Arabidopsis thaliana: one gene and its partner. The protein of the gene in region 1 interacts with the protein of each later gene in a pairwise test. Each region holds a gene or a part of one and is shown on either strand. Other genes may lie near its edges. The genes, in order: AT1G07930 and AT1G77550.

Region 1 (15,633 bases):
GTTAGGAAATCAAATTTTCTTGGATGTTTCAGATTTGGTTGTTGTGGTAGCATGCTATGGACCATTGCCATCTGTTTTTCGTCTAACTATATTAGTTAGTGATCTTCTTTTTTCTTTTCAGGTTTCTTTGTTGATATTAATTTGTTCAAGTCAAACAAAGGGAGGGATCTGATGGCTCTGAAAAGCATTGATAATGCCAGTGAAAATGATGGTCGAGGAGAAAAGGATGGTTTGGCTGATGATGATGCTAACTTAATGATTAAAATGAAGTTTCTCACATACAAGGTAATTTTAGGATGGAAGGTCTTCTGGCTAGAGGGATTTGTAATTTGTTGCAATTTCCTGGCTCTTTCGTTGCATTATCATCCTGATGTTGGACATGTCTTCATTTTTTTTACAGTTGAGAACCTTTTTGATCCGTAATGGCCTATCAATTCTATTTAAAGACGGGGCAGCAGCTTACAAAACTTACTACCTTAGGTGAGCTGCTTTCTCCCTATGAATATATACATATAGAGTGATGTGTCAAATGTTATAGTGATGTTTTGCATTGCATTGTAAAACAAAACGTGGAGACTAGTTGTTGCATACTCATTATGTTTTGATTATGTAGGAGCTGACGTGGTCAAGCTTTAATTTGATTTTTTTCTAATATCATTGTTGTTTCTGCATCCAGGCAAATGAAAATCTGGGGTACGTCAGATGGAAAGCAGAAAGAACTTTGCAAGATGCTTGATGAATGGTACCAAAATCACACTACTCTACACATGTAGACTAAGCTTATACAATTTTGTGGAAACTTATTTCCTGAGCAAATGTGTAACCTACTGCCTAGATAATTTTTCATCTTTTTGAATCTGGATTAGCATCTCATCTTCTCTTCTCTTCACTACGTGCAGGGCTGCTTACATAAGAAGAAAGTGTGGGAATGATCAGCTATCTTCATCAACATACTTAAGTGAAGCTGAGCCATTCCTGGAGCAGTACGCGAAACGGAGCCCAAAGAACCATATTTTGATAGGGTCTGCTGGGAACCTAGTTAGAACTGAGGACTTCTTGGCCATTGTTGACGGTGATCTAGATGAAGAAGGCGATCTTGTGAAGAAACAAGGAGTGACACCAGCTACTCCTGAGCCAGCTGTGAAGGAAGCTGTCCAAAAGGATGAGGGGTTAATTGTATTCTTTCCAGGTATTCATTGTTATATATTATTTCATGTATTCTGGTTGTTGGTTTTAGTTCATTTTTGTGGCAGTGTCTTATATTGAACTTATGGATGGTAGTGGTTATCAGCTTGTAATTGTTTTAGTCATTCAGATAATAAAACATTAGTAAAAAATCAAGTTTTTTACTTCTGACCAGAAGTGAGAGCAACACATTGTTTTAGAGTGACTGGTGGTATATTTTTCTGTATATGTCGTTTGCTTTGACATCTCCTTTAATCTCTTTTCTTCTGATTTCTACAATATTAATGTTTTCTCAGGAATTCCTGGATCTGCTAAATCTGCACTTTGCAAGGAGTTATTGAACGCCCCAGGAGGCTTTGGAGATGATAGGCCAGTGCATACTCTGATGGGTGATCTTGTCAAAGGTATTTTAGAATGTAGGTTTTTTTTGGGTCAAAACTGCTCTGGTCTCTCAATTTGCTATGCCATCTCATGCAATATTCTACATACGGGACAGGAAAATATTGGCCAAAGGTTGCTGATGAACGTCGTAAAAAACCACAATCGATTATGTTGGCTGACAAAAATGCCCCAAATGAAGATGTCTGGAGACAGGTAATTAATCCTACGTTGAGAATCTGTTACAACCTTACATTAAGTAGAAATGAGTATTAGGCTTATAAGATTCTCTGCCTCTCCTCGTGCATTTAGAATAGCTCTACGCATGGGTCCTTTAAGAGTGGCTTTGGCTTACAAGTCTCATTTCAATCTTATTCTCGTATTTCCCTATTAGATTGAAGATATGTGTCGGAGAACTAGGGCTTCTGCAGTTCCAATCGTTGCTGATTCTGAAGGTATGTAACTATGCATCCATTCTTTGATGTATTTCAGTTAACAATCTTCTTTTCTGCTGTTTATACGGTCATCTTCAATTGATTCCATACTATTTGACCTTCAATTGATATGATGACCCTGTGAACGTTATGATTATGAAAGGTTGAAGGATGAATTATCTTTTACTGAATTTGCTCCCGTTTTATTCATGTATAAATATAAGGTTGATACTCGATTTTCTGCATATAGTCGGAAGTTTATACTTCGCTTAAAAACACAAAGAGTTGTTCTGCTTTATTTTCTCAATTACTGCCTTGCGTCATCCTCTGTATTCTTTGTGATCTTTTGCATTATATTTACTTTTGCCCCTCTATGAATGCACAGGAACCGATACAAATCCATATTCACTTGATGCCTTGGCTGTATTCATGTTCCGTGTACTTCAACGAGTTAACCATCCGGTATACAGTTGCCTCTTATACACAGTTCAACTTCAACTGCATCATCCAACTTTCATCACAACCCTACATCTTTAACAAACTATCTTTTCTTCATGTGCAATAAATATTTAGGGAAAGCTCGACAAGGAATCTTCAAATGCAGGTTATGTGCTATTGATGTTTTATCACCTTTATGAGGGAAAGGTATTATCACATACTCCACAACTTATTCTTTTAAGTAAATCTATGATTTGATCTAACTGAACTTTCTTTAAATTTTAGAACCGTAATGAATTTGAGAGTGAATTGATTGAGCGCTTTGGCTCCCTCATCAAGATGCCACTATTGAAATCAGACAGGTATACAGTTGACATCACATGCGAGCTAACAAACTCGAACTTAGCACAGCTACAAATTGCAACTTCATATTTAATTGGTTCATAAGCAATTTAATTGTCTTCTCTTTGTGCATATACAGGACTCCTTTACCTGATCCTGTTAAATCAGTTCTTGAGGAGGGCATTGATTTGTTCAATCTCCATAGTAGAAGACATGGGAGGTGGGTACCAACACTACCATTTTAAATGACTTGAAAAGTTGAATTTATGTCAAACCGAAGTATTTTGAGCATCGTATGCCAAAACTTGTTCATCGTGTTATATATTAAACAACACCTTCTGTTCTGACGATAAAAAATGAAAGGCAATAGTAATAATTTAGCAAAAACTAACAAGACATCGGATTTATTTATCCTGTGACTAGATGTACTTGGATCATGTAACTGGAGAAATCCTACACATGAGTGTGCTCACAGGCGTTTTTATTTCTTGTTCTGGCTGTTCTCTACTTCATTCTTTTAGCTCTAGCTCCTGTTGGTTGCTTCTGACCTGTTTTCCTTCTGATTTTTCTTGTTGTAGACTCGAGTCAACAAAAGGAACATATGCAGCGGAATGGACCAAATGGGAGAAACAACTACGAGATACTCTAGTTGCAAATTCTGAGTATCTCAGTTCTATTCAGGTAAAAAATTCCTTTGTCATTGATGGCTCATGAAAAGCAAGAAATCTGCGATTGAATTTTAAACTGCTTCAATGTTCCTTCAGTACATGGTAAAAGAGTATAAGAAGAAGGATGTACATATGATGTCTTTGTTTTCTGGTTTGCAACTTTCAGGTTCCATTTGAGTCTATGGTTCATCAAGTGCGAGAAGAGCTAAAAACAATAGCGAAGGGTGATTACAAGCCACCAAGTTCGGAGAAAAGAAAACACGGGTCTATTGTTTTCGCTGCCATCAACTTGCCTGCTACTCAAGTTCACAGTCTTCTTGAAAAGGTAACCAACCAATTTCTTATACTATCATATAAAAAAACAAAAGGAATATTGAGACAAGAACTCTTCAACTGCCGAAAACTAAAGGTTAAGTATGGGCTTTGTTATTAATTAATAGATGTTATTCTTATCAGTTGGCTGCAGCAAACCCAACAATGAGATCTTTTCTAGAGGGAAAGAAAAAGAGCATACAGGAAAAACTTGAACGGTCTCACGTGACGCTCGCCCACAAGAGAAGCCATGGCGTAGCAACTGTAGCCAGCTATAGTCAGCACTTGAACAGAGAGGTACCCGTAGAGCTCACCGAGCTCATCTACAACGACAAGATGGCTGCTCTAACAGCCCATGTTGGATCTGTGGACGGAGAGACCGTAGTCTCCAAGAACGAATGGCCACATGTTACATTGTGGACAGCGGAAGGCGTTACTGCGAAAGAGGCCAACACGTTACCTCAGCTTTACTTAGAAGGAAAGGCGAGCCGCTTGGTGATAGATCCTCCGGTGTCAATCTCAGGTCCTCTGGAGTTTTTCTGAATACTTGATTAAACATGGAAGTTTCTCTCTTGAGGGAGGTTGCTCGTGGAATGGGACACATATGGTTGTTATAATAAACCATTTCCATTGTCATGAGATTTTGAGGTTAATATATACTTTACTTGTTCATTATTTTATTTGGTGTTTGAATAAATGATATAAATGGCTCTTGATAATCTGCATTCATTGAGATATCAAATATTTACTCTAGAGAAGAGTGTCATATAGATTGATGGTCCACAATCAATGAAATTTTTGGGAGACGAACATGTATAACCATTTGCTTGAATAACCTTAATTAAAAGGTGTGATTAAATGATGTTTGTAACATGTAGTACTAAACATTCATAAAACACAACCAACCCAAGAGGTATTGAGTATTCACGGCTAAACAGGGGCATAATGGTAATTTAAAGAATGATATTATTTTATGTTAAACCCTAACATTGGTTTCGGATTCAACGCTATAAATAAAACCACTCTCGTTGCTGATTCCATTTATCGTTCTTATTGACCCTAGCCGCTACACACTTTTCTGCGATATCTCTGAGGTAAGCGTTAACGTACCCTTAGATCGTTCTTTTTCTTTTTCGTCTGCTGATCGTTGCTCATATTATTTCGATGATTGTTGGATTCGATGCTCTTTGTTGATTGATCGTTCTGAAAATTCTGATCTGTTGTTTAGATTTTATCGATTGTTAATATCAACGTTTCACTGCTTCTAAACGATAATTTATTCATGAAACTATTTTCCCATTCTGATCGATCTTGTTTTGAGATTTTAATTTGTTCGATTGATTGTTGGTTGGTGGATCTATATACGAGTGAACTTGTTGATTTGCGTATTTAAGATGTATGTCGATTTGAATTGTGATTGGGTAATTCTGGAGTAGCATAACAAATCCAGTGTTCCCTTTTTCTAAGGGTAATTCTCGGATTGTTTGCTTTATATCTCTTGAAATTGCCGATTTGATTGAATTTAGCTCGCTTAGCTCAGATGATAGAGCACCACAATTTTTGTGGTAGAAATCGGTTTGACTCCGATAGCGGCTTTTTACTATGATTGTTTTGTGTTAAAGATGATTTTCATAATGGTTATATATGTCTACTGTTTTTATTGATTCAATATTTGATTGTTCTTTTTTTTGCAGATTTGTTGACAGTCTCTAACCATGGGTAAAGAGAAGTTTCACATCAACATTGTGGTCATTGGCCACGTCGATTCTGGAAAGTCGACCACCACTGGGCACTTGATCTACAAGTTGGGTGGTATTGACAAGCGTGTCATTGAGAGGTTCGAGAAGGAGGCTGCTGAGATGAACAAGAGGTCCTTCAAGTACGCATGGGTTTTGGACAAACTTAAGGCTGAGCGTGAGCGTGGTATCACCATTGACATTGCTCTCTGGAAGTTCGAGACCACCAAGTACTACTGCACTGTCATTGATGCTCCTGGCCATCGTGATTTCATCAAGAACATGATCACTGGTACCTCCCAGGCTGATTGTGCTGTCCTTATCATTGACTCCACCACTGGTGGTTTTGAGGCTGGTATCTCCAAGGATGGTCAGACCCGTGAGCACGCTCTACTTGCTTTCACCCTTGGTGTCAAGCAGATGATCTGCTGTTGTAACAAGGTAACCATATCTTTCATCTGTTATGTGACTACACATTGCTTCTCTTTTTGTGTTCTGTCTCATTAATTGCGGTTTGTTACATGTTGTTTGTAGATGGATGCCACTACCCCCAAGTACTCCAAGGCCAGGTACGATGAAATCATCAAGGAGGTGTCTTCCTACTTGAAGAAGGTTGGTTACAACCCCGACAAAATCCCATTTGTGCCCATCTCTGGATTTGAGGGTGACAACATGATTGAGAGGTCCACCAACCTTGACTGGTACAAGGGACCAACTCTCCTTGAGGCTCTTGACCAGATCAACGAGCCCAAGAGGCCGTCAGACAAGCCCCTTCGTCTCCCACTTCAGGATGTCTACAAGATTGGTGGTATTGGAACGGTGCCAGTGGGACGTGTTGAGACTGGTATGATCAAGCCTGGTATGGTTGTGACCTTTGCTCCCACAGGATTGACCACTGAGGTCAAGTCTGTTGAGATGCACCACGAGTCTCTTCTTGAGGCACTTCCAGGTGACAACGTTGGGTTCAATGTTAAGAATGTTGCTGTCAAGGATCTTAAGAGAGGGTACGTCGCATCCAACTCCAAGGATGACCCTGCCAAGGGTGCTGCTAACTTCACCTCCCAGGTCATCATCATGAACCACCCTGGTCAGATTGGTAACGGTTACGCCCCAGTCCTGGATTGCCACACCTCTCACATTGCAGTCAAGTTCTCTGAGATCTTGACCAAGATTGACAGGCGTTCTGGTAAGGAGATTGAGAAGGAGCCCAAGTTCTTGAAGAATGGTGATGCTGGTATGGTGAAGATGACTCCAACCAAGCCCATGGTTGTGGAGACCTTCTCTGAGTACCCACCACTTGGACGTTTCGCTGTGAGGGACATGAGGCAGACTGTTGCAGTCGGTGTTATCAAGAGTGTTGACAAGAAGGACCCAACCGGAGCCAAGGTTACCAAGGCTGCCGTCAAGAAGGGTGCGAAGTGAACCATCCTCAAAACTCTATCTGCCGCAGGTGAATCAAAGGACAGTGTTAGTTTTATTACAATAGTTTGGTATTTGGTCGCGTGTCTGTGTTCTTGTTTCGTTTTCTCCCCGTCAGAGCGTTGTTCTCGTAATTGGGTTCTTGATCGGAGGTGGCGGATCTACACACACATTCTTCCTGTTTTTTGCTTTTTATTTGTTTTCTCATTTTGAACTGTTTTAAAATTTCTGTTATATGAATGAATGTTTTCCCTGCGGTTATTATCTTCTTTACTCTAATTTTCTCTTGTTGCGTAAATCGTTTCCGAAATCTTTTTACCTCTCTTCTCTATTGTCATAATTAATCGCTGCTTTCAATTTAAACTTTTTGAAAGCTAAAATAAAAGTTTTATGGTTTCAAATACTCACCGTTACCGTTCTGTCCGCAACACGTGTATTCAATTTGTTGCTGGGCTGTAATGATCGGCCCAAATCAATCTAATTTTTTATTTATTTTTACATGTCCAATATAAGGCTTAATAGATAAATTGGACTTGGTTAAGGTCCATTATAGATGCCACTGTGGTACCATTAGCCTTGCATTGTTTTTTTTGTTTTTACATGCCCAATATAAGGCTTAATAGATAAATTGAACTTGGTTTAAGGTCCATTATAGTCCAATATAAGGCTTAATAGATAAACTGGAATTACATGAGAGTAGTGGTATCATACCAAAATTCATGATTTTGCATCATTATTTTCTGGCATTGGATGATGATGAATATATAAATATTTCGCTTATGAAATAGAAAGCCTTGCTCAAATAATGAAGCACATGAGTTGGACTTAAAGCCAAAAATAAGGCGAGATGTTTTTTTTTTTGTTAAAGGGTTTAATAAGGCGAGATGTTACCAGTGTATTTGAAGCAAATCAATGTAATCAGTTGTACACAGGCAGGAGATATATAGCGATCAGATACATAAAATATATGTATAAATACGTACTTTTTGCTAGTGCTCTCTACCAGCGTTTTCATTATGAAGTCTAATTTTTTTTTTTTTTTTTTTTTTAACTGATTTGTTCTGATTTATAAATCTTCGTATGATCGTATCTAAAGAGAACATGCTCCCGTGAGTCGTTGACGTTAAGTATGGGGGGAGACATTACCGGAACGAAAATTAGTAAAACAGGCGGCCAGACATAAGGGTAAAATTGTCATTACGCTAAGGAGATTATCTTAAACCCTAACTTTTTTCCGCTTCACCACTATAAATACAAACTTGTTTACCCTTCCAATTTATTTCTCTACTTGTCCACTTTTCTACAGCCGCATCATCCTTCTCCCTTGTGCGATATCGTTTGCGTGAGGTTAGCTTTTCATACGATTCTTCGATTTGAATTCTTATTCTTCCGATCGATTTGGTAGATTCAATTTCGTCCCGTTGTCGTTTGCTTCTTCTTAATCACTTCTATGCTTCTTTACATGTAACTCTCTGATTTGTTGATAGGATCGTTTAGATTCTTTGATTCCATGGCTTTGAACTTATCGATTGAGGAAATTAACGTTCTGTAGTGCAATCGAACTGGCTTTCCTTTTATTATTTCAAATTCAGATCATGTAATCTGTCGATCTAGTTCTTTGAATTTTCTGTTGTGCGATTGATTGTTTGTTAGATCCATATGTGTAAGGTTAAATTGATCTATTGGTATAATACATACGTTTCTAGTTATCAAATTGATTTGTGATTGGGTAATTCTGGAGCAGCATAAAAAATCCATTGTTTCTTTCCTTCTTGAATCTAAGTCGTGGAAACTCTAGGATTGTTTGCTGTATATCTCTTGAAATTGCTTGTTTGATTGAATTTAGCTCGCTTAGCTCAGATGATAGAGCACCACAATTTTGTGGTAGAAATCGGTTTGAATCCGATAGCGGCTTTTAACAATGATTGTTTTTTGTGTTCATATGTCTACTGTTTTTATTGATTCAATATTTGATTGTTCTTTTTTTTGCAGATTTGTCTGAAAAGTAGCTAACCATGGGTAAAGAGAAGTTTCACATCAACATTGTGGTCATTGGCCACGTCGATTCTGGAAAGTCGACAACCACTGGACACTTGATCTACAAGTTGGGTGGTATTGACAAGCGTGTGATCGAGAGGTTCGAGAAGGAGGCTGCTGAGATGAACAAGAGGTCCTTCAAGTACGCATGGGTGTTGGACAAACTTAAGGCTGAGCGTGAGCGTGGTATCACCATTGACATTGCTCTCTGGAAGTTCGAGACCACCAAGTACTACTGCACTGTCATTGATGCTCCTGGTCATCGTGATTTCATCAAGAACATGATCACTGGTACCTCCCAGGCTGATTGTGCTGTCCTTATCATTGACTCCACCACTGGTGGTTTTGAGGCTGGTATCTCCAAGGATGGTCAGACCCGTGAGCACGCTCTCCTTGCTTTCACCCTTGGTGTCAAGCAGATGATCTGCTGTTGTAACAAGGTAACAAAAGCTTCTTTTATCTCTTATGTGATTATTGCTTCAAATTGTTTGTGTTCAGTCTCATTAATTGGATTTTTCTTTCATGTTGTTTGTAGATGGATGCCACTACCCCCAAGTACTCCAAGGCCAGGTACGATGAAATCATCAAGGAGGTGTCTTCCTACTTGAAGAAGGTTGGTTACAACCCCGACAAAATCCCATTTGTGCCCATCTCTGGATTTGAGGGTGACAACATGATTGAGAGGTCCACCAACCTTGACTGGTACAAGGGACCAACTCTCCTTGAGGCTCTTGACCAGATCAACGAGCCCAAGAGGCCGTCAGACAAGCCCCTTCGTCTCCCACTTCAGGATGTCTACAAGATTGGTGGTATTGGAACGGTGCCAGTGGGACGTGTTGAGACTGGTATGATCAAGCCTGGTATGGTTGTGACCTTTGCTCCCACAGGATTGACCACTGAGGTCAAGTCTGTTGAGATGCACCACGAGTCTCTTCTTGAGGCACTTCCAGGTGACAACGTTGGGTTCAATGTTAAGAATGTTGCCGTGAAGGATCTTAAGAGAGGGTACGTCGCCTCCAACTCCAAGGATGACCCTGCCAAGGGTGCTGCTAACTTCACCTCCCAGGTCATCATCATGAACCACCCTGGTCAGATTGGTAACGGTTACGCCCCAGTCTTGGATTGCCACACCTCTCACATTGCAGTCAAGTTCTCTGAGATCTTGACCAAGATTGACAGGCGTTCTGGTAAGGAGATTGAGAAGGAGCCCAAATTCTTGAAGAATGGTGATGCTGGTATGGTGAAGATGACTCCAACCAAGCCCATGGTTGTGGAGACCTTCTCTGAGTACCCACCACTTGGACGTTTCGCTGTTAGGGACATGAGGCAGACTGTTGCAGTCGGTGTTATCAAGAGTGTTGACAAGAAGGACCCAACCGGAGCCAAGGTTACCAAGGCTGCAGTTAAGAAGGGTGCAAAGTGAACTCGAATCCTCAAAACTCTATCCGCAGATGAATCAAAAAACAATATTAGTTTCTTTACTTTAGTTTGGTATTTGGTCGCGTGTTATAGCTTCGTTTCTTCTCCATCGGAACTCTGTTCCCGGAACTGGGTTCTTGATCGGAGGTGGCGGAGCTACTTTGCACCTATTTTGCTTTTGAATTGTTATCAATTTTGAACCTATTTGGAGATTCGGTTATATGATGTGATTTTCCGAGGATATTCTCTCTTTTTTTGTTGCGTGTATCACATTCGAATTCAGTCTCTTGGATAACTTGTGGAAAAACTTATAACTTCAAGAAAAACCTTATAAACACTTACAACTTCAACAAAATATCGTAACTGCCATTGTAGATTGTTTTTACTCCGATTCGCTTGAGCAGCTTGAAAACAAAAGCAACGCATACCACTTTGAAGAAAAACGTAGCTAGTACATACATATATTTTACAATGTAAAAAGTAAACAACACATTTATAGATCTTTTGTTTATCAAACGTCAAGTCAAACAAATTCGATCTTATTGATCCAGCTATAGTCATAAATTCATTATGATCCGCCCCGTGAGTTAAGTTATGCAAAACACTGAATCCGACCCACACAAATCATCATGAAACCAAGGAGTTGTCTTATATTAACCGAACCAACAAGCTTTAAAACTTTTCTTGCACACGACCAATGGCCAATTTCCATCTATAAATCATCCGATCAACCATATTACGATTATGTCAAAGATCAAGTGTCTTCCTCTTCACCGAGGGATTCAAGTTTAACCATTATTGACATATAGAGTTCAGTACTGTAAATATAGACTATACTATCTCGGTTTAACAAAAAATGTCATTATATCTTAATCTTTGGTTTTACAAAGAGTATCGTTTTGTATTTCCCATGATGCATATCATTAAACTAAAACATTTTCTTTTATTCCAATTATTTCAGTTTATTAATAAAAGAAGAAAAGAATATTTTTAGTGTATTTGTAGAGGATAAGAGAAATTTAAACAGTTTACTTAATTTGTGTAACATATGTTGTAGAGAATATGTTAATTTTGAATATACGAATCATTGAGTTAGTAAAGCATCATGAATTGTAAATATAAATGTATTCAACTCTCTATCTACACTGAGTTACATTAAATTTTACAATTTTCCCATGTATGTAAATATTTATGATATACCTAACTATGTATTAGTGCATTTGTTTTATTTTAAATGATATTTAAGGTTTTTACACATAGATTTAGTAATTATTATTACTATTTAATTTTTTGTGCACATGATTTCGAAATGATTTATTGTTATGTTCTTATATTAAAATATTTTTGTCTACTTATAAATAATTCAATCAATAAAAACATACAAGAGTATTTAAAACATTACTCACGATAAACAGAGAAAAGGTATATATAAGATACTATTTTAAATAGTGAGTTAATAGATAACTAATATAATCAGCCAATTACAAGTGAAAGAAGAATTTTGTATAAACCTCGAAATTGATAGGTAATGAATCAAAATATGACGCCAAAAAAATTTATAAATGAAAATGTAATAGTTTTGGGCCTTTGGTTTAAAATGAATAAATATCACCAAATTATGGGCTATAGTATTGGGCTCTATCAAAGTACAATTAATATTTTTGGTCTAAATTTAAAATATCGAGCCCAAGGTTTTCAACAAAGTGCGTTATTATCAGGACACTATAGTGAAACAAAATCCACTCGCATCAATCGCGCGTAGAGCGCGTTCAGCGAAAATGCGTGGTCTAATAACCCACCAAAACCGCTGTTTTTAATTAAAATCCCTTTCCTCGAAAAATCCCGCGCGTGACCATATTGCTTTGGTTCTCTTGTCCCCATATTTATCGCATTATTAAAATTTTAAAAATGGATTACTTACCAGCTGACAAAAAAATGATTTACGCGTTGCTCTAAGTTATTGAAACTAGCGTATAGCCGTATACTATATAATTAAAAAAAAAATAGAGGATTTAACATTAAAACGTATGCAAATCTTTTCAATGTAAACCTTTAATGAGTCACTTATGTCTTTCTTTTTTTAACATTTTCTTTATGATTTATGAATCAGGTTGAAACAATATTGTTAGGGTGTAAAGCTTCAGTTATTAAAATGGTTCACGGTAATTGAAAAAAAAAGAAAGAAAAGCCATCATCTTGTCCTCTCCATAGCCAGGTATAGAGACCCGAGTTGAGTACCTTCATATCGACAAGATTACTCAAGCTTCTGCAATCTACTTCAAATTTGATGTTTGCATATATATCTTCTTCCCCAACAGCTTCGCATTGCCGTTATTTAAACTTGAAATTTGCTTTGTTCCTTACATCTATTTCAAAGAATCAACGAATAAAATCATCTCAAAAGCCTTCTCTTTGACTGCATTTTTTTGCTAAATCTCTTCGACTGTATTAACTTTAAATATTACAGCCAAAATCAAAGAAATAACATTAGCCTTTATAAACTGATATAGACTTGTTTCTCCAATGTTGTTTAAAGTTCTAGATTACAATTTTACCATGTAAGAAACTTCAGAGGCTGATCGTTGAATTTTAGAGAAGAAAAACAGACTTAAGTTGATAAGATAAGATAATATCCGCAGGAATGACACAAATATCATATAACCGAATATCCAAAAAGGTTCAAAATCATAACACAAAACAAAAGAAATAAACAGGAAGCTCGAGTGCCAAGTACCTCCGCCACCTCCGATCAAGAACCCAATTCCGAGAATTGAGCTCCGACGGAGAATAAACGAAGCGGTAACACAAACAACCAACCAAATACCAAACTACTAAAGTAAAGAAACTAAAATAGTCCTTCATTTCATCAGCGGAAAGAGTTTTGATGTTCAGAGTTCACTTGGCACCCTTCTTGACTGCAGCCTTGGTAACCTTGGCTCCAGTTGGGTCCTTCTTGTCAACACTCTTGATAACACCGACTGCAACAGTCTGCCTCATGTCCCTCACAGCGAAACGTCCAAGTGGTGGGTACTCAGAGAAGGTCTCCACAACCATGGGCTTGGTTGGAGTCATCTTCACCATACCAGCATCACCATTCTTCAAGAATTTAGGCTCCTTCTCAATCTCCTTACCAGAACGCCTGTCAATCTTGGTCAAGATCTCAGAGAACTTGACTGCAATGTGAGAGGTGTGGCAATCCAGGACTGGGGCGTAACCGTTACCAATCTGACCAGGGTGGTTCATGATGATGACCTGGGAGGTGAAGTTAGCAGCACCCTTGGCAGGGTCATCCTTGGAGTTGGATGCGACGTACCCTCTCTTAAGATCCTTGACAGCAACATTCTTAACATTGAACCCAACGTTGTCACCTGGAAGTGCCTCAAGAAGAGACTCGTGGTGCATCTCAACAGACTTGACCTCAGTGGTCAATCCTGTGGGAGCAAAGGTCACAACCATACCAGGCTTGATCATACCAGTCTCAACACGTCCCACTGGCACCGTTCCAATACCACCAATCTTGTAGACATCCTGAAGTGGGAGACGAAGGGGCTTGTCTGACGGCCTCTTGGGCTCGTTGATCTGGTCAAGAGCCTCAAGGAGAGTTGGTCCCTTGTACCAGTCAAGGTTGGTGGACCTCTCAATCATGTTGTCACCCTCAAATCCAGAGATGGGCACAAATGGGATTTTGTCGGGGTTGTAACCAACCTTCTTCAAGTAGGAAGACACCTCCTTGATGATTTCATCGTACCTGGCCTTGGAGTACTTGGGGGTAGTGGCATCCATCTACAAACAACATGTAACAAACCGCAATTAATGAGACAGAACACAAAAAGAGAAGCAATGTGTAGTCACATAACAGATGAAAGATATGGTTACCTTGTTACAACAGCAGATCATCTGCTTGACACCAAGGGTGAAAGCAAGTAGAGCGTGCTCACGGGTCTGACCATCCTTGGAGATACCAGCCTCAAAACCACCAGTGGTGGAGTCAATGATAAGGACAGCACAATCAGCCTGGGAGGTACCAGTGATCATGTTCTTGATGAAATCACGATGGCCAGGAGCATCAATGACAGTGCAGTAGTACTTGGTGGTCTCGAACTTCCAGAGAGCAATGTCAATGGTGATACCACGCTCACGCTCAGCCTTAAGTTTGTCCAAAACCCATGCGTACTTGAAGGACCTCTTGTTCATCTCAGCAGCCTCCTTCTCGAACCTCTCAATGACACGCTTGTCAATACCACCCAACTTGTAGATCAAGTGTCCAGTGGTGGTCGACTTTCCAGAATCGACGTGGCCAATGACCACAATGTTGATGTGAAACTTCTCTTTACCCATGGTTAGAGACTGTCAAACAAATCTGCAATAAAAAGAACAATCAAATATTGAATCAAGAAAAACAGTAGACTTATGAACACAAAAAACAATCATTGTTAAAAGCCGCTATCGGATTCAAACCGATTTCTACCACAAAAAATGTGGTGCTCTATCAACTGAGCTAAGCGACCTAAATTCAATCAAAACAGCAATTCTGGAGATATACAGCAAACAATCCTAGAGTTTCCACAACTTGGTATCAAGAAGAATGAATCAATTGATTGTTTATGCTGCTCCAGAATTACCTAATCACAATTCAAATCGACAATTAATATCACATACATCAAAAGATCCAATCAACAATCCATTGAACAATACAAAAATTTCAGAACCAGATCGATCATATAGTTTATCATCAGCTGGCATGAAGAAAAAAAACAATACGATGGCACTGTAAAACTTTGTTCTCCTAAATCGATAAAACTTTACACCACAGATCAGAAATTCCAAACGATCTATAAACAAAGAGAATCGAATCCAAGAGATTACAACAAACAAACGAGAAGGATCGAAACAGATTCAACACAGATCAACAGAAGAGAAAGAAGCAGATCGAAGATGGTGACGAAAAAGCTTACCTCAGAGATATCGCAAGAGAGTAAAGCGGCTAGGGTGACGAAAAATGAAGCAAGGAATAAAGCTATGTTTGGGATTCGAGTTTATTTATAGTGGTGAATCGAAAGAAATAATAAGTTAGGGTTTAACATAACATCGTTTGCCAAATTACAAACGTACCCCTATCCCGCCGAATATTCTCTTTTTCTTTGGGCCTTGAAGAGTCGGTCGCGTTTCATAAAAGTCCACTAACCTCGAGGGGTCGCTCTTGTTTCATAAGTCAAGCTAATTTGAATTTGATAGTTTCAATCCAAAAGTGGAATATAATTAAAT
Region 2 (17,374 bases), about 27 Mb from region 1:
CCGATGCCCCGTGGTGAAATTGTAATTGGTGGCTCAAATATCACGCTTGGGTATTTCAAAAATGAGGAGAAAACTAAAGAAGTGTACAAGGTGGCAAATCAACATTATTGGTTTCGGCAATGTTAAAAGAATTGGTTGGTTTGGTTCTTCCTCTAACCGTTTTATACACTTGAATGTTCAAAGGTTGATGAAAAGGGAATGAGGTGGTTCTACACAGGAGACATAGGACGATTTCACCCTGATGGCTGCCTCGAGATAATAGACCGAAAAAAGGATATCGTTAAACTTCAGCATGGAGAATATGTCTCCTTGGGCAAAGTATAGTTTTCTCAATCCGAATACCCTTTTTTGTCTTCATCACTCAATTCTCCGGAGAAGCTTCTTAAAACATTCTTTTTTTTCGCAGGTTGAAGCTGCTCTAAGTATAAGTCCCTATGTTGAAAACATAATGGTTCATGCTGATTCGTTCTACAGTTACTGTGTGGCTCTTGTGGTCGCGTCCCAACATACAGTTGAAGGTTGGGCTTCAAAGCAAGGAATAGACTTTGCCAACTTCGAAGAACTGTGCACGAAAGAGCAAGCCGTGAAAGAAGTGTATGCGTCCCTTGTGAAGGTATGTTCATTGCTACTCATTACCAAGCTATTTGAGTCCCCCAGTCATTTCCTTATAACATCTGTGTTATGCAGGCGGCTAAACAATCACGATTGGAGAAGTTTGAGATACCAGCAAAGATCAAATTATTGGCATCTCCATGGACGCCAGAGTCAGGATTAGTCACAGCAGCTCTAAAGCTGAAAAGAGATGTAATTAGGAGGGAATTCTCTGAAGATCTCACCAAGTTATATGCCTAAATTTTTCTTCTTCCTTTACTTTTTTTTTTTTTACGTCTCGATGCATTCGAAAGACTTAACAGATGCACAAAAACTTAATTCTAAGAATAGTTATCTCTTTTCTCATTGATGTTTCTGTCTTTTCGTGTAATTTGTGTGGGAACTAGGACGAGACAGAAAAAACAGAGTAATGGGTCTCTTACTCTCAACAATCTTTTTAGGCTTTGAGACCATGTCTATACAACTTAATGGGCCTTTATCAAACCACGTCATTAAGCCTATGCATATAGTTTTTAGTTTATTTGTTTTTGGGACTCGAGATAAACGACAAAAGGAAAGAGACTATCAATTGTAATCTGGAGTGAAAATAAAGTTAATCTTACCAACTACCAACAATTAAGAAAAGATAAATTGGAGATTAGTGTATAAATTAATTATATTGTACTTAACAGAAAAAAAAAAAAAAAAAAGTAGAAAGCAGAGTGAGAGATGGGAGCAATCTAAACCGTCGGATAAATTGTGAATCTCACTGATTTTGTCAGTGAACCCAATGACCAGAGTCAGCGAGACGCGTGAGCTCTTCTTTAATCACATTATTATTATTAAAACCGTTACAACTTCCTTAAATTCAAAAGCTGCTTTCTAAATTCGTAATTTAATTATCCTAAATTATTGTCAATAATGTATTCTCGGGCGGGAATTGTTATAAGCACTTTAAATGTCAATAATTCAAATTAATTAGTACGAAATTACGTTTTAACTTTTAATTCCTTACATTTATATACACAAAAATAATAATTCCTTAAAAAAAGCTGAAAAAGTTAAGATTTAAATGTTTTTTGAGTTCACAGCTCCACATACAGAAGATCACATGCTCTATCTCTCTTTCTATCTTTTGAATTAAAGAAGAAAAATTAGAGAAATATTTCAAAAATAGCAAAAAACAAGATAAAGAGAATTCTCTCTTCTCTCTCTCTCTCTCTCTCTCACGCTATATCTCTGCCTTGTCGCTGTTAATAAATCGTAATAGTGTTTCAGACAGTAGTAGAAGAAGAAGAAAGCTTCTTCCTTTTTGCTTGTTTAATCGCTGATTTTTTTTTGTTTCCATTGGGGCATTTTGGGATCTCAAAGTTCTTCATACAGTCCCCAACCAAAAGGTATTTACTTCACCAAACATTTGGTCTCTTTCACAATATTCTCTTCCTTTGTTCGTTTTTTTTTAATTTATCTACTTAAGTGTTCTCTGAAATAGACCAATGTTTGGAGTGTAGTTTGAGACTTACTTATCACTGTTCCATTACCCTCGTAGCTTTTATTTCCTTCTCTTGGATTTGGGGTTTTGGTAGATTTTCCCTTATGCCTCAACGAGTTTCAAATTTAAAGTTTCAAGCTTTTGTTCTTTGTCTTGTAGCTTTCTCAACCGTTGGTTTTTGATTATGAAACGGACATCTGGAACCACATTTGTTACTATAAAGACAAATTCAGTTCCTTTAAATCATTTCTAATACTTTGTGTTAAATGATTGGTTTATTCAAGATTTTCTCTTATCTTGCATGTTTGCTGATTGGTTCAGTTTACTTCATCTTAAAGTTTGTTTCTTCTTTGACTATGTTTATGTATGTTTCAGCATTTTTAAAGAATCCAATGTATGTGTGTGTGTGTGTGTGTTTTCTCTCTCATTCAGATCCTGAGACTGTTATGTGCTGATTGTGATCTTGGAAACTATAAATGGAGAAAAGGAAGAGAGAATCATCTGAGAGAAGCTTTGGTGAATCAGAGTCTGTGTCTTCACTATCTGAGAAGGATTCTGAAATTCAAGTAAGATCAAGAATTTTGTTTTTGTTATTTTAGTCTTGTGTCCTTTGCATCTAAAAGATCATTGTAATGTCTGTTTTTATTTTTGCTCAAGCCTGAGAGTACAATGGAGTCTCGTGATGACGAGATACAATCACCAACGGTTTCTTTGGAAGTAGAAACTGAAAAGGAAGAGTTGAAAGATAGCATGAAGACTTTAGCCGAGAAACTTTCAGCTGCTCTTGCTAATGTGAGTGCTAAAGATGATCTAGTGAAGCAACATGTCAAAGTCGCTGAAGAAGCTGTCGCTGGTATCAATCTTTTTTTCTACATTTTTGTTTTATGATTCTGCGACTTTTTAGTGAAGATATATCTACTCTTGTTGTGAAGGGTGGGAGAAAGCTGAAAATGAAGTGGTTGAGTTAAAGGAGAAGCTTGAGGCTGCTGATGATAAGAATAGAGTGTTGGAAGATAGAGTAAGCCATCTTGATGGAGCTTTAAAGGAGTGTGTGAGACAGTTAAGGCAAGCAAGAGATGAACAAGAACAGAGAATTCAAGATGCTGTGATCGAGAGAACTCAGGAGTTGCAGTCTTCTAGAACCAGCCTTGAGAACCAGATTTTTGAAACTGCAACCAAGTCTGAGGAGCTTAGCCAAATGGCGGAATCTGTGGCGAAAGAAAACGTGATGCTTAGACACGAGCTTCTTGCGCGATGCGAAGAGCTAGAGATCAGAACTATTGAGAGGGATTTGAGTACCCAAGCAGCTGAAACCGCCAGCAAGCAGCAGTTAGATAGCATAAAGAAAGTGGCGAAACTTGAGGCTGAGTGCAGGAAGTTTCGGATGTTGGCTAAGTCATCAGCTTCGTTTAACGATCATCGATCTACAGATAGTCATTCTGATGGAGGGGAACGAATGGATGTGAGTTGCTCTGATTCATGGGCATCATCCACATTGATTGAGAAGAGAAGCCTTCAGGGAACTTCCTCTTCCATTGAACTTGATCTCATGGGTGATTTTCTTGAGATGGAACGTCTTGTAGCATTGCCTGAGACGCCAGATGGGAACGGTAAGAGTGGACCTGAATCAGTTACAGAAGAGGTTGTTGTTCCCTCAGAGAACTCGTTAGCTTCTGAAATAGAAGTACTGACTTCTCGCATTAAGGAACTTGAAGAGAAGTTGGAAAAGTTAGAAGCCGAGAAACATGAGCTCGAGAATGAAGTTAAATGTAACAGAGAAGAGGCTGTTGTTCATATAGAGAACTCAGAAGTACTGACTTCTCGAACTAAGGAACTTGAAGAAAAGTTGGAAAAGTTAGAAGCAGAGAAAGAGGAGCTCAAAAGTGAAGTTAAATGTAACAGAGAAAAGGCTGTTGTTCACGTAGAGAACTCATTGGCTGCTGAAATAGAAGTACTGACTTCTCGAACTAAGGAACTTGAAGAACAGTTGGAGAAGTTAGAAGCGGAGAAAGTTGAACTCGAAAGTGAAGTAAAATGTAACAGAGAAGAGGCTGTTGCTCAAGTAGAGAACTCGTTGGCTACTGAAATAGAAGTATTGACTTGCCGAATCAAGCAACTTGAGGAGAAGTTAGAGAAGTTGGAAGTAGAGAAAGATGAGCTCAAAAGTGAAGTTAAATGTAACAGGGAAGTGGAGAGCACATTGAGATTTGAGCTCGAAGCTATTGCTTGTGAAAAAATGGAGCTGGAAAATAAGTTGGAGAAGTTGGAAGTTGAGAAAGCTGAGCTGCAAATATCTTTTGACATAATCAAAGATAAATATGAAGAATCTCAAGTTTGTCTGCAAGAAATCGAGACGAAGCTGGGGGAGATACAAACGGAGATGAAACTCGTTAACGAACTAAAAGCTGAAGTAGAGTCTCAAACCATCGCAATGGAAGCAGATGCAAAGACTAAATCCGCAAAGATTGAATCTTTGGAAGAAGACATGAGAAAGGAGAGGTTTGCTTTTGATGAGCTTAGGAGAAAATGTGAGGCTCTTGAAGAAGAGATCTCTCTCCATAAAGAGAACTCAATCAAGAGTGAAAATAAAGAACCCAAGATCAAACAGGTCTGTCTCCAAAGTTCAGGTGTTAGTTAAACTTAGACTGTGTTCCATCACAATCACTTTTTTGTCCACTAAAACTTGATTACTATAATTCAGGAAGACATAGAAACAGCTGCAGGGAAACTTGCGAATTGTCAGAAAACAATAGCTTCATTGGGGAAACAGTTGCAGTCCCTTGCAACACTTGAAGATTTCTTAACCGATACACCGATAATTCCAATGGCTGCAAATGGTGTAAGCAGCAGCAGCAACTCAGAGAGTTGGAAGGTTCACAAAAACGAAACTTTCATGACAAGAAATCATCCTGAGTCCATCAAACCAACCAAAGAAACATCTCCATCTTCTTCTTCTTCTACTGCGTCTGCTGCTGTTTCAATGCCAGTTTCAACAAACCGAGGGAGTTCTGAGAAGAATCGCAATGGATTTGCAACAGTATTCACAAGAAGTAAAGACGGTATCCATCTGGCTATATAACATAACTTTGGCAGAGTAGGCAGAGAAACTTATCTCTTAGGGTTTAAAAAGGATCCGTTTTTAACACCACTTTGTTCCCTTTTCCAGATTTTGAATCCATAGTAGTAGTTTTAAAAGTTAATCTCTAGTGTAATGCAGTGGATGGATATTCCATAAAAGATGTTTCAAAAGTTTTCAATTTTCTGTTAAGAGGTTTTAGGAAGTTTCTATGTGATGTTGTTATGAATCATAATATAAGACAATAAAGAAGAGAAGCCACCATCATAAGAGAAGAATCAAAGACTAGGCATATAAAGAGGGTTCCTATAAAGAGAGAAACATACTATTGAAAAGTTCTTAGACTTGAATCTACTTGGAGACGAATATACATAATAAAGAAGACTGATTTAATGGACGATCAAATTTGCAAGTGTTGGAAGAGAAACTCGACTTGAACTCTAGCTTTCCTTGCTTTGGATTTAGCAGCTTTCCTTGCTTTACGTTTATCGCTAACCATCTTCTTCATAAGCTCCAGTTTATCTCTGATAAAATCTTCATGTCCAAATTCCAATACTCCAGTTCTTCCTTTAACTATTTTGAACCCATGAGAACGAAGGTTGGAGAAAAACCGTGAGAGGTTTGTGCCCAAGTCTACATATTTAGGCAGAATCCTTCTGTAAAACTCTCCAACATTCCAGATAATGAAACTGTTGTTGCTTTCGCTCCACGATATGATTGCATCCGTTGAAGCATCATCAACAACCTCATACACTCTCATGTAGAAATTGTAACCCATCCCTAAAACCTCACAAACTTCACAAATTAGAATCTTAGAATAATTAGGGTTTCGAGATTTTAGCATAGAGAGGAAGAGCAAGAGCATTATTTATAGACGAGCTATCAATTCAAAGGACGGTCAAGATATCAGCAAAATTTCAGCGGTCAGGATTAAAAGTTACAAAGTTTCCTTTTTTCTATTTTGTTTCCTTTTTTCTAATACGCATATATTATGTATATAAATAAGATAGCTTTCACCTAACAAGCATCCGAGGTTCTATGGTGTAGTGGTTAGCACTCTGGACTTTGAATCCAGCGACCTGGGTTCGACTCCCGGTAGGACCTCTTTTTGTTTCTTACATTTTTTTAGTTATTACTTTTCAAAATTAACCCTATTATATCACTCCCACTTCTCTTCTTCTTCTGTCGCCGAAAACGCAGCTTAAGCTAAAACCCCTCAGAGAGAACAATGAGCAAAATCGAGAGCTTTGATGATTTCGTCAAAGTACATGGAATACTTTTGGCGGCTTCAGGTTTGCCGCCGAAGCTTTACCCACGCCTCTTCGAGAAACTTGCTTACGATACTTTTGATGGCGGCGATTACTTCCAAATCGAATCCTGCGAGGATGATCAGCGACGGAAGCTTCTCCTCACTGCCGAATCTATGCCTAAAGATTCTGACGTCTTCCTTGTCGATCACGCCTGGACTTTTCGTCTTCCCGATGCCTATAAGCAGGTAACGCCTACTCTCACTCTCGAAAGAAGCTTATTGAATTTTGGATTGGTGATGAAGCTTAAGGTTTGTTTTAATCTCTTACTTCAGCTTAAGGAAATTCCTGGATTGGCTGAGAGGATGGCTTCTTTGATGAGTGTTGATATTGATGTGGATGCTGGAGAAGAAGAAGTGGCAGAGGAACTCTCTGTTGATCAGATAATTGACAATGAAATTCGTTATGCAGCAGATAAAGGATATGACTCTTTGAGATGGTTGGAGTTGGAGGGTCTTGGTGTTGATGACTCATTGTTGTCCCTGCATTTGCCTAGTAAATTTCAGGCATGTCTTTAGATCTTTCTTCTCCTTTAGTACTTTCATGCTAGACTCTAGCTCAGATGGTGAAGGTTTATTTCAAATGCTAGATTCTAAAGCTTCTTTGTTTGTGCTGCTGCCATTTTTTGGGTAGGATTTAGTGGCGCTTAGTCTTATCGGGAACAAAATAGAGAGTGCGGATGTGGTTATACAAGAGATTGTGAAGTTTAAGAATCTGAAGGCTTTGTGGCTGAATGACAATCCTGTTCTTCAGAAGAGGTAATCATGCATTTACAAAATATATGGATGTGTGTGGATATATAATTAATTTCTCATGTATTTCTTTTTTATGATTATTTTCAGTGAACGTCAGATGGCTGACGAAATATTGCAAGGCTGTCCGAGTCTTGAGATTTACAACTCGTGTTTTACCCCTAATTATGGGTTATGGGCACTTGGTTTCTGTGGAGATATCTTTGGGAAGGATAATCCTGGTTGTGTTCAGCAGGATCAACCCTTGTGCAATGTCACCTCACTTGACCTTTCAAACCGGTCAATACACAATCTAGTCAATAAGGTCAGTTTTGTCCCCCTACTTTCTCTCAGAGAGGCAGGGAGTGTAGTTTATTGACCGTAGAGGCTACAAGCATTGACGAAGGTGTATGTTTCAATTTTGTATTTTACGTGCCTGATTTATCTGCCTTTGCTTTCTTCATTTTCAGGCATTCTCTGTGCACGAGATGCCATTACTTTCTCATTTAAATATTCGTGGAAACTCATTGGATCAGAATTCTGTTGGAGAACTACTTGAAGTCTTGAAGCTCTTCCCTTCACTGTCTTCATTAGAGGTAAATGTTGGAAGTTGTCCTTATTCAGATACAAATTGAGGTTACTGTACAAAGTTAACTAAAATTTATTTATGCAGAGATGAGCTCACGTGTTACTTCTTGTTTGTAGGTTGACATACCTGGACCTCTTGGAATTAATGCTCTAGAGATTCTTGAATCGCTCTCAAACCTTTCTTTACTAAATGGCGTTGATACGGCAAAAATTTTGGAAACTGGAAAGCATGTTGTTGACTCAATGCTTCAACCACGCATTCCTGAGCTGAATCCTGATGATACTCTTGTTGATCGTGTTCTTGATGCAATGTGGTTGTATGCGCTGAATTATCGCCTTGCGGATGATGAAAAGCTTGATGAAACTTCTTTATGGTATGCAATGTTTCTCTTTTTTTTTGCTATATTAGAATTAGTGCGGTGGATTTGCTGGGGATAAGAAATAAAACTCACGGCTGTTTATATTTACTATTTAAACTATCATAACAATTTTCAGTTAAATAGACAAATTAGAGAAATCCAATATTTAATATTTGTGACGATTCTAATCCAACACTGAAAGCTGAAAGAGTTACCACTCTTTGTATGTCGGAATGACCATTTTCACTTTTGGAATGTATTCTCACCCTAGCATTTGTTTCTCTAGACTAAAGCCTTCTTTGATTTGACTGGGCGAGGTCTCCTTTGGTGTATATATGTGCAAAATTTCTATAGTATTGGGAATGAACATTTGATGCTAGTCTACTTCTTAAGAGGTTAGAATTAGGAGGGGGAATCAAACAGTTTATGGATAGTCTTGTCTGTAGTTCTTGGGCACATAATTTTTGGATATGTATGACTGTGAGTGGTGCAGTGATATCACTTTTTCGCAGGTATGTGATGGATGAATTGGGTTCAGCTTTGAGGCATAGTGATGAACCCAATTTCAAAGTAGCTCCCTTCCTTTTCATGCCTTCTGGGAAACTAGAATCTGCTGTGAGGTAGCAACTTTTAAAAAATTTCCTGCACTGCTCCTCGTATTTGTTAAATTCAACTTCTATGCGCTGTAAACACGTGTTATGTTGCTATAGTTCAAAAGTGTAATGTGGATTGACATGCGCTTCTTGATCAGGGCTCACATGTCATGTATGCAAATATTTTCTATCTTCATGTTTATTTGGTTTTATATGTTCCAGCTATTCGGTAATGTGGCCTATAAAGCATTCTCAAAAAGGTGATGAGTGCACTCGTGATTTTCTATCTGGTATTGGGGAGGACAAACAGCGGTCTGCGAGACTCACAGCCTGGTTTCAAACTCCTGAGAATTATTTTATTCATGTACTTCCTCGGTGTCCTCTTTAGCTTTCTGTTCATTAGCAGACTTCCTTTCCTCTCATTTCATACAAAGATTTTTGTTAATTAACAGATTCGCTGTCATGATTTCCTAGGAATTTGAGAAATACCAACAGAAACTGCAGGCCAAAGCCTTCGAGTCAAAACCTTCCAACCCTTCAGTTTCCCGAAGCATACAGCATAGTGATGGGTCTCCTTTGCTGGTTTACACGGATCTACCTCAAGTTGAAGAATTTCTGACACGCCCAGAATTTGTGATCAGTATGTGATTTGATCCATTTTTCATGATATCTACGTCTCATTGGATGGATATACTAAGCAATCGTCTGCATAAATGCATTAGACGAATCAAGAATTTTCTTTGTGTTTTCTGAGTTGTGTCACTTGCCTGCCTGCAGCAAATGAACCAAAAGATGCAGACATATTATGGACAAGTGTACAGGTGGATGATGAGCTCAAAAAAGAGGTGGGAATAACAGATGACCAGTACATAAATCAGTTTCCCTTTGAGGCATGTCTTGTTATGAAGCATCATCTTGCAGAGACTATTCAAATGGTAAATTCAGCAGATTATACCCTTAGATTATCATAGCACGTTAGTAACTTGTTTCTGAAATCCCTATGTTTTGCTTTACAGGGTTATGGATCTCCAAAATGGTTACAGCCTACCTATAATCTTGAAACCCAATTGTCCCAGTTTATTGGGGACTATTGTGTCCGCAAACGTGATCAATTGAACAATTTGTGGATCTTGAAACCATGGAACATGGCACGGACAATCGACACAAGTATAACCGATAATTTATCTGCTATCATCCGCATGATGGAAACTGGTCCCAAGATCTGCCAGAAGTACATAGAGCACCCTGCTTTGTTCAAGGGGAACAAGTTTGATCTGCGATATGTTGTGCTAGTGCGGAGTATTGACCCGCTGGAGATTTACCTAATAGAGATATTTTGGGTAATGCTTATTTTAATTTTCATTACAACCAATACAAGCGCTTATTTACTCATATATATCAATCCTATATGTTTGATTTCAGGTTAGGTTGTCCAACAATCCATATTCATTGGAAAAGCACAGTTTCTTTGAATATGAAACTCACTTCACTGTCATGGTATTAGTTAAGAACACTCTTTCCACATAATGATTCAGCAACTCTCGTTTTCCCTTTTCATGTTCATTCTCTTATGCGTTTCAGAACTATGGTCGGAAGTTGAATCACAAGCCCACGGCAGAGTTTGTGAGAGAATTTGAACAAGAACATAACGGTATACACTATATTTGGGTTTACTTTCTCCAGATTTTTATGCATTTCATTTTGTCAATAACACAATTCAACTCTCAATAGTTAAATGGATGGATATCCATGAGAAGGTGAAGCAGGTGATACGGGCAGTGTTTGAGGCGGCAGCTCTCGCGCATCCAGAGATGCAATCCCCCAAATCTAGAGCAATGTACGGAGTAGATGTAATGCTCGATAGCTCCTTCGAGCCAAAAATTTTGGAGGTTCGTTACTAAAACTACCTGACATATACTTGTTTCCTTGAGAAAAACTCTTGGAAATTGCAAGTTCTCATGATTGTCTATGCAACGCAGGTTACATACTGTCCTGATTGCATGCGGGCTTGCAAATATGACATGGAAACCATAGATGGAAAAGGTATTGTTAAAGGCGGAGATTTCTTCAATAATGTATTCGGGTGCCTCTTCTTAGACGAGACTGCACACGTTACTCCATTGTGAGCTCAATTGGCAGAGAGAAGAGAGAAGATGGTTGGTTTAGTTCCAAACTAGAATGGTTTTATTTATAATCATGTCTTTTGTAAGTTATGCACAATGAGAGTTTTGCTTTATTAGCTACATTGTGGAAAATTGAAATCCTAATGTACGTTTATTAGCTACATTTAGCCAATGAAGCTTTCGTTATTTTAAAATCTTAAAAGTCCTCCTAAAAATTATTCATAACAGAACACCGCGGTTAATAGGCCCATTAATAGGCCCGATAAGAATCAGATAAAGAAACATTCCTTCGATTTACGTTTATTGACAAATGACGAACACGGCGGCGACAACGGAGGCGAAGATGGCGACAGAGCCACCAAAGATAGTGTGGAACGAAGGCAAAAGGCGATTCGAGACGGAGGATCACGAAGCTTTCATAGAATACAAGATGAGAAACAACGGTAAAGTGATGGATCTGGTTCATACTTACGTTCCTTCATTCAAACGAGGATTAGGTTTAGCTTCTCATCTCTGCGTCGCCGCTTTCGAACACGCCTCTTCTCACTCCATCTCCATCATCCCTTCTTGCTCCTACGTTTCGGTACGAATTTCTTTTAAAAATCTACTCGAAATTCTGGATCTTGAAATTGAATTCGTGAGCTTTGTGTATTTTGCAGGATACGTTTCTTCCTCGAAACCCATCATGGAAGCCTCTGATTCATTCAGAGGTATTCAAGTCTAGCATTTGAATAACACTTGTTTCTCATTGTGCTCTGTAATAAGTAAATGTCGTTTGATGATTGTAATCAAAATGAGAGTAAATGAATATTTTATGAATCCTACTGCTTTCGATAGCAATGAATCGAAATTGGGATTTACTAGCTCGTGCTTTTTGGTGCAATCAAACTCAAAGGTTACAGTAAGAAAACATTATAGAAACGTTGTCGGAGCATAAGAAGAAATGTTTCAATTACAAACCTAAAGCAAACACCCTTTCACAATTATTATTACAATCTGTTAATATAATACACTAAACAATCTTGAAAAGAAAACTTAGCATGTAGCAGAATTCGTGAATTCCAAATCCTTATTTGTGGAATTCGATAACAGAATATGAATAAGAAAGACATATGATTTCACATAGAAGAAAGCCTGACGCAAACGCTAAATTCTCGAACTGCGAAAGAGATCGCTCTTTACCACCAGAGCATTGTGTTAACATCAACAAGTCCATGCCCAACACGGTGTTACACGAAAAGTCATTAGGCTTTGGTTCCATTGGTGTAATCATCTCTACAATGATCACTTTACCTTTTTCCGGTAGACTTTTCCAACAATTTTTCAGAATCTTTATACAATCCTCGTCTCCCCAATCATGTAGTATCCACTGTCAATAACTTAACCATATTATATTTCGAAAATAATGAGACTCAATTATAATTTATCGATTCATAAACATATAAACTTACTTTCATAAAGATGGCATCTCCTTTTGGAACTTCAATAAACATGTCTCCGGAGACATGCTTGACTCCTATCATTAGTATTAGTCAAACCATACAAAAGATTTAGGAGGTACATTAGTTAGTAATACTAGCACAGCAAATATACTAAGTATAGTTTTGTACCTGGATAAAAAGGAGCTTGGGTTAAAACTTGAGCTAAGTCGAAATTAACACCTTTGATATGAGGATACTTGGAAGTGATGAGACCTAATATGGTGCCGATACCTCCTCCTACATCCACCAAAGTGTTAACATCTTCAAATCCTCTGTATTCTTCTAGAACCTTCTTCATGACCATTGTGGAAGATTCCGACATTGCGCGGTGAAACAACTTAGAGAACTGGTCATCCGAACTAATATATTCGAAAAGTCTCATGTCGTGGGCAGAGCTGAATGCATCTTTTCCTTCTAGTATCACATCCTTGAGATTTGTCCTATATATGGAATTTTTTCAAAAAAAATATCTTCAAATGTTCATTTACGTTTTATGTTCACTAACCATGTTTTGAGAATGACTTGGCTATGGAGCAACAATAACAAGGACGAGAGAGAACCAGAGCCGTCACTATCTTTCAAGAAGTACTTGCAAATCGGTTCAGCTGCATATACTCTCTCGATCTTTCCGGTTTGACCATTTTCTCTGCTTTCAACCATACAACACTTCAAGATCGAGTGGCTTACAAGTAACCGCAGCATCCGGTCCAGCAATACCGGCGCCTCCGGGTTAGTGGGTTTGTTTGGGAGACTAACGGCTATCTCAGACGGTGAGAGCCACGTGCCGTTGCTAGCAGCAGCGATCGTATCAATGACTCCAAGCTCTAAGGCGGCTTTGAGAACCATGGGGAAAGCCACGGCGTTGACTATACTCTCCGCTTGCAAGCTCACCATTTTCTCGTCGATTTCTTGTTCTTCTTTGGTTAAACCCGGTTTAGGGTAAGTGGTTAAGGGATCTTGAAGATGGTTTGACATAATTGTCGATATAGGTTGAAAGATTGAAGAAGATGATAACAAAGGTAGAGTTGATTTGAGGATGTGGTTTTAACTTTCACAGTTAGTGATGTTTTTATAAGGAGAAATCCCAAAGACAAGTGGACTGATTATGTTTAATACTAATTTATTGTCACGGGGATGGACAAAAAGATGATGGTTCATGTATTTTTTTTTGAATAAAAGATGATGGTTCATGTAGATAGTTTGCGATTGTTGTTGTTGTTGTTGTTTTGATATAGATAACAATGGCAAAGAAGATTGAATTCGAGATTCACACTAGTGCCATGCACTGAGACGCGTGTAGTAGTACTCAAATGCGAATTAAAAGTTAACTAATGAAAGATGCGTCAGAGTTTTCATTTTTTTCTTCACATCGAAAAGGTTAAAATAGAATATCGACGATTATAAAAAAAAAAACTACAAATTTTAAAACGGTCAACTATATAAAACATACGATGCGATAGGAAAGAAAATCATAACCAAAGTTTGGTGATATCTTCAGTTTCAGTATGCTTATTGTGGTGATAAACAAAGATTTATTATGGACAACACTAAGTCACTAACTGGTATCATGATATATATTTCAAGGAAAACCTCTTTTTCAGAGAAAAAGATATATTTCTAGAAATCTCACAATTAAAGGGAAATTACTGCAATTATAATTTTTCAATATATGACCATAATAAAACTGACACTTTAGGAATCTTTGCAAATTAATTATTTAATGGTAATTTTAGATTATTTCTTAAAATTGTGAAATTTTTGTAAATCAAAACTAATAATAATAATAATGATATTAATAAATTCCAACGAGAAGGGATCATAATCTATATATATTAATTATCCCAAAAAAGGAAACAAAATAATTGTGAAATTTTTGTAAATCAAAACTAATCATAGTAATGATAATATTAATAAATTCCAACGAGAAGGGATCATAATCCATATATATTAATTATCCAAAAAAGGAAACAATGTCATAATTTTTAATAGTAATTTCTTAAAACCAATTTATTATTAACAGGTGGATGATGATTTAAATGCATAAGAAGAGAAAAGAAAAAAAATAATTATATATGCAAGTAAAGTCATATTACTCACTTTGTCGTTCTATTATTTTTTCTCAAATATCAATGCATAATTTATTATGACTATTAATAATTTGCAATCTTTTTCTATTGGTTAATTTTTAAAATAAATGTTAGATACTATATTTATGGGTATTTAATATTAGAATAACAAAACATTTATGGTCTCTTAAACTTTGTGCTTATTTAGAAAATATTATAATCTGGAACGTTGGGAGTGTAGATTAGCTGTCAAATATATGATTTATTACTTAAATGTGTTTATCTTATTTAGGTTATTCTTTTAATAAATATTTTGGTTTGACTCTCAAATTGGCATTAATTATTTTGGTCAAACTTAACTTTATTGCCTTTAATTTGAGTAAGAATAAAAAAATATCTGTGTGTGTGTTGTCTGTATATATATGTAGACATTGTTGATAAGAAAAAATATTCAGTACCAGATAAACACAACAACAAAAGAAAAAATATAGACATATCATTTGCATCATGAAATCTGTTAGTGCGTGTGTGGTTCTTTGTGTTCTCATGTTTTTCGTGATGTATAATGCTAAAGGTGAGATATATATAATTCATATAATTTCGATTGTTTATATACTTGCTTAATATGAAAACATTGACTGATGAAAAAATGTTATGAATGTAAATTTTTGTGTTATCAATTTTGTATTTATCTAACACGTTTCATCCACCATCTAATATTTTTGTGGTTGATATGAAACAGTGGAGGCAGAAGATCGTCCACCTGTACTTGTTGAATACTTTCCGGGAACATATTGTAGTCCAATTCGTGCTCGGGGTCCTCAACAGTGCAAAGATGAAACTAAGGATCCTTACTATCCTAATTGCGTTTGTATAAATCAAGCAAGTGGACATGATTGTTCATGTACTCATTGATAAGTTTCCTTTATATGTATGCGTTACTGAATCTTGAGAACTAAATCTATTTAATAAAAATTAGATATTTATCTTTGATTTATGTGTCATGGCCGGGTAGGAAATAAATTTGATTCATAAAAATTCAAAATACCCTAAATAAAATATCCCTCGAGAGCAATGTAATAGTTTACAAAACCAATCCATTTTTGAGCGTTGAAGTTCCCATTATCTGTGATTTATCGTATAATCTCCACTCTAAGAATTACCAATCTGTGGATGATTCGATTTGATTCCTAAATTAGCCGCGTCTTATTGTATCAATCAAAGCTTTAGGATTGTGATGAGTTTCGTATTTTATTTTGTGGTGGTATTCTGATCATGTCACACAATTCAGGCTCACATAATGAAATGGAATGAATACATGTTTAGTTCTCTTTTATTTATTTATAATTCCATAGCGAAAACAAAAGTAGGGGTCAACCGAACCACGTGAATCAGGATATCACTTTCTTCTAACCCACGCAGGAAAATATCTTTAAGGAAGCACTAACTTGTGATTGATCCTATAATCATTTAAAAGCGTCATACTATTATTAAATTTTTAAGTCTATAATAAAATTTTAAATCCAAAAACAGTGTGTGTTTTAATGTTAGAAAGTAATCTATAGTAACATTGAACCATACCGAGTAGAGGTGGGCAAAGCTCAGAGTTCTTTCGTCAACTTGTTGTTCTTCTTTGCTTAGACGCGTTGAGTTTGCAATTGTTTTAATCGTTGCTGGTAAAACTCATGGGTGGGTAGGCTTGTTGAATACAAATCCACCATGTGAAACACATGGCTGAAGTCCAAGGCCAGTTGGCGTACTACATGCAGTAAAATTGTTTCAAGTGAGAATATAATTAAACTTAGGCTAACAATTTTAAAACATTGAGTTGATTACATATTTGCAATATACTATTAAATCAGCATATGTCTTGAAAATATGTAATCAACTCAAAAAATTCCACCTTGAATTATATTCTGTTTATTCCTTGATTCTCTTTTACCACCCGAGCATTGTGTTAACATCAACAACTCCATGATTCGTTCATTATTAAAAAAAATATCTTTCAAGTGGATGTTAAGAAAATTAAAATGAAATCTTTCAGGTGATTTAACAAGATCCGTCGGTCCACCAAACCACGTGAATCAGGATATCACTTTTTTGTAACCCGTTCAGGAACTACCAACTACTCATTGATCCTATAATCATTTAACAACGTCGTACTAAAATTATTTTTTAAATCCAAATATATTGTACTTTTAATGTTAAAAACTTAATTTAGTTTTTTAAATTAGACTTTTTAAATATTTCTTTGTCATCCCATTATGTATAAGTTGGAAAGACAATAATTAAAGTAACATTATATATTTTCCCTTTGAGGCTATAATGAAATCGTTATTCGACAAAAAAAAAAGTAACATTTTAAAAAAGCAACTTTCTTCCGGTGAGAGCTACCATACCCGTTACTAATTCTACGGCTTGTTGAGTACAAGTCCACCATGTGAAACACCTGGTCGAAGCCTAGGGCCATCTGGCCTACATGCTGTGAAATAGTTTCAATCAAGAAGCTGAATTCAGGGAACAAGGATCCACATATATTGAATTGGAATGCAATTGCATGTACTGATTAATGTTTGTACCTATAGTTTAGTCATAATTTATGTGTTATTATGGAATTTGTGAAAAAAGATATATGTTGAATTTAATAGTAGTGTAAATGAGTTCACTCAATGTTTTAAAATCCGGACCGACCTGGTCAGACCGTTAAACCCGTGATCAAGCTTCAAGCAGTAATTTACAAACCTAATGCGAATACACACTTTTATACTTATCCGAATTTATTTCTTACACACCGTTTATTAATACTAAAACAACCATAATCTTGAACAATGAAAAGGCTCAAACCAATACCAAACTATATTACATGCAATAAAAGCCATTTAACAAAACAGAAAAAGTTACGTATATATTGTTTTCTTTTCTTTCTTAAATTCCAAATTTATTTGTGGAATTCGATAACAGAATACG

What was found.
Region 2: the proteins of AT1G07930 (region 1) and AT1G77550 interact in a two-hybrid assay, tested with the Arabidopsis thaliana proteins (one large-scale study listed by BioGRID).

What each region holds. Positions count from the first base shown.
Region 1 is NC_003070.9:2,450,087-2,465,719, forward strand, and holds AT1G07930 (GTP binding Elongation factor Tu family protein), read left to right. Parts: upstream 1-8,097; 5' UTR 8,098-8,259; intron 8,260-8,904; 5' UTR 8,905-8,927; coding exon 8,928-9,389; intron 9,390-9,484; coding exon 9,485-10,372; 3' UTR 10,373-10,731; downstream 10,732-15,633. Other genes in the region: RNL (RNAligase), read left to right, coding at 122-285, 401-480, 677-742, 900-1,189, 1,482-1,589, 1,682-1,779, 1,958-2,018, 2,383-2,459 and 6 more; AT1G07920 (GTP binding Elongation factor Tu family protein), read left to right, coding at 5,473-5,934, 6,028-6,915; AT1G07940 (GTP binding Elongation factor Tu family protein), read right to left, coding at 13,264-14,151, 14,245-14,706. UniProt on the Arabidopsis thaliana protein: This protein promotes the GTP-dependent binding of aminoacyl-tRNA to the A-site of ribosomes during protein biosynthesis.
Region 2 is NC_003070.9:29,131,979-29,149,352, reverse strand, and holds AT1G77550 (tubulin-tyrosine ligase), read left to right. Parts: upstream 1-6,302; 5' UTR 6,303-6,387; coding exon 6,388-6,654; intron 6,655-6,741; coding exon 6,742-6,972; intron 6,973-7,099; coding exon 7,100-7,224; intron 7,225-7,308; coding exon 7,309-7,522; intron 7,523-7,667; coding exon 7,668-7,793; intron 7,794-7,902; coding exon 7,903-8,159; intron 8,160-8,656; coding exon 8,657-8,764; intron 8,765-8,959; coding exon 8,960-9,101; intron 9,102-9,211; coding exon 9,212-9,377; intron 9,378-9,514; coding exon 9,515-9,672; intron 9,673-9,753; coding exon 9,754-10,077; intron 10,078-10,159; coding exon 10,160-10,234; intron 10,235-10,318; coding exon 10,319-10,388; intron 10,389-10,468; coding exon 10,469-10,626; intron 10,627-10,716; coding exon 10,717-10,863; 3' UTR 10,864-11,076; downstream 11,077-17,374. Other genes in the region: LACS9 (long chain acyl-CoA synthetase 9), read left to right, coding at 1-90, 184-318, 407-613, 688-852; AT1G77580 (filament-like protein (DUF869)), read left to right, coding at 2,560-2,649, 2,741-2,936, 3,016-4,691, 4,785-5,162; AT1G77570 (Winged helix-turn-helix transcription repressor DNA-binding protein), read right to left, coding at 5,560-6,003; AT1G77540 (Acyl-CoA N-acyltransferases (NAT) superfamily protein), read left to right, coding at 11,171-11,443, 11,520-11,591; AT1G77530 (O-methyltransferase family protein), read right to left, coding at 11,930-12,229, 12,312-12,376, 12,471-12,781, 12,847-13,316; AT1G77525 (defensin-like protein), read left to right, coding at 14,915-14,981, 15,150-15,322; AT1G77520 (O-methyltransferase family protein), read right to left, coding at 17,346-17,374.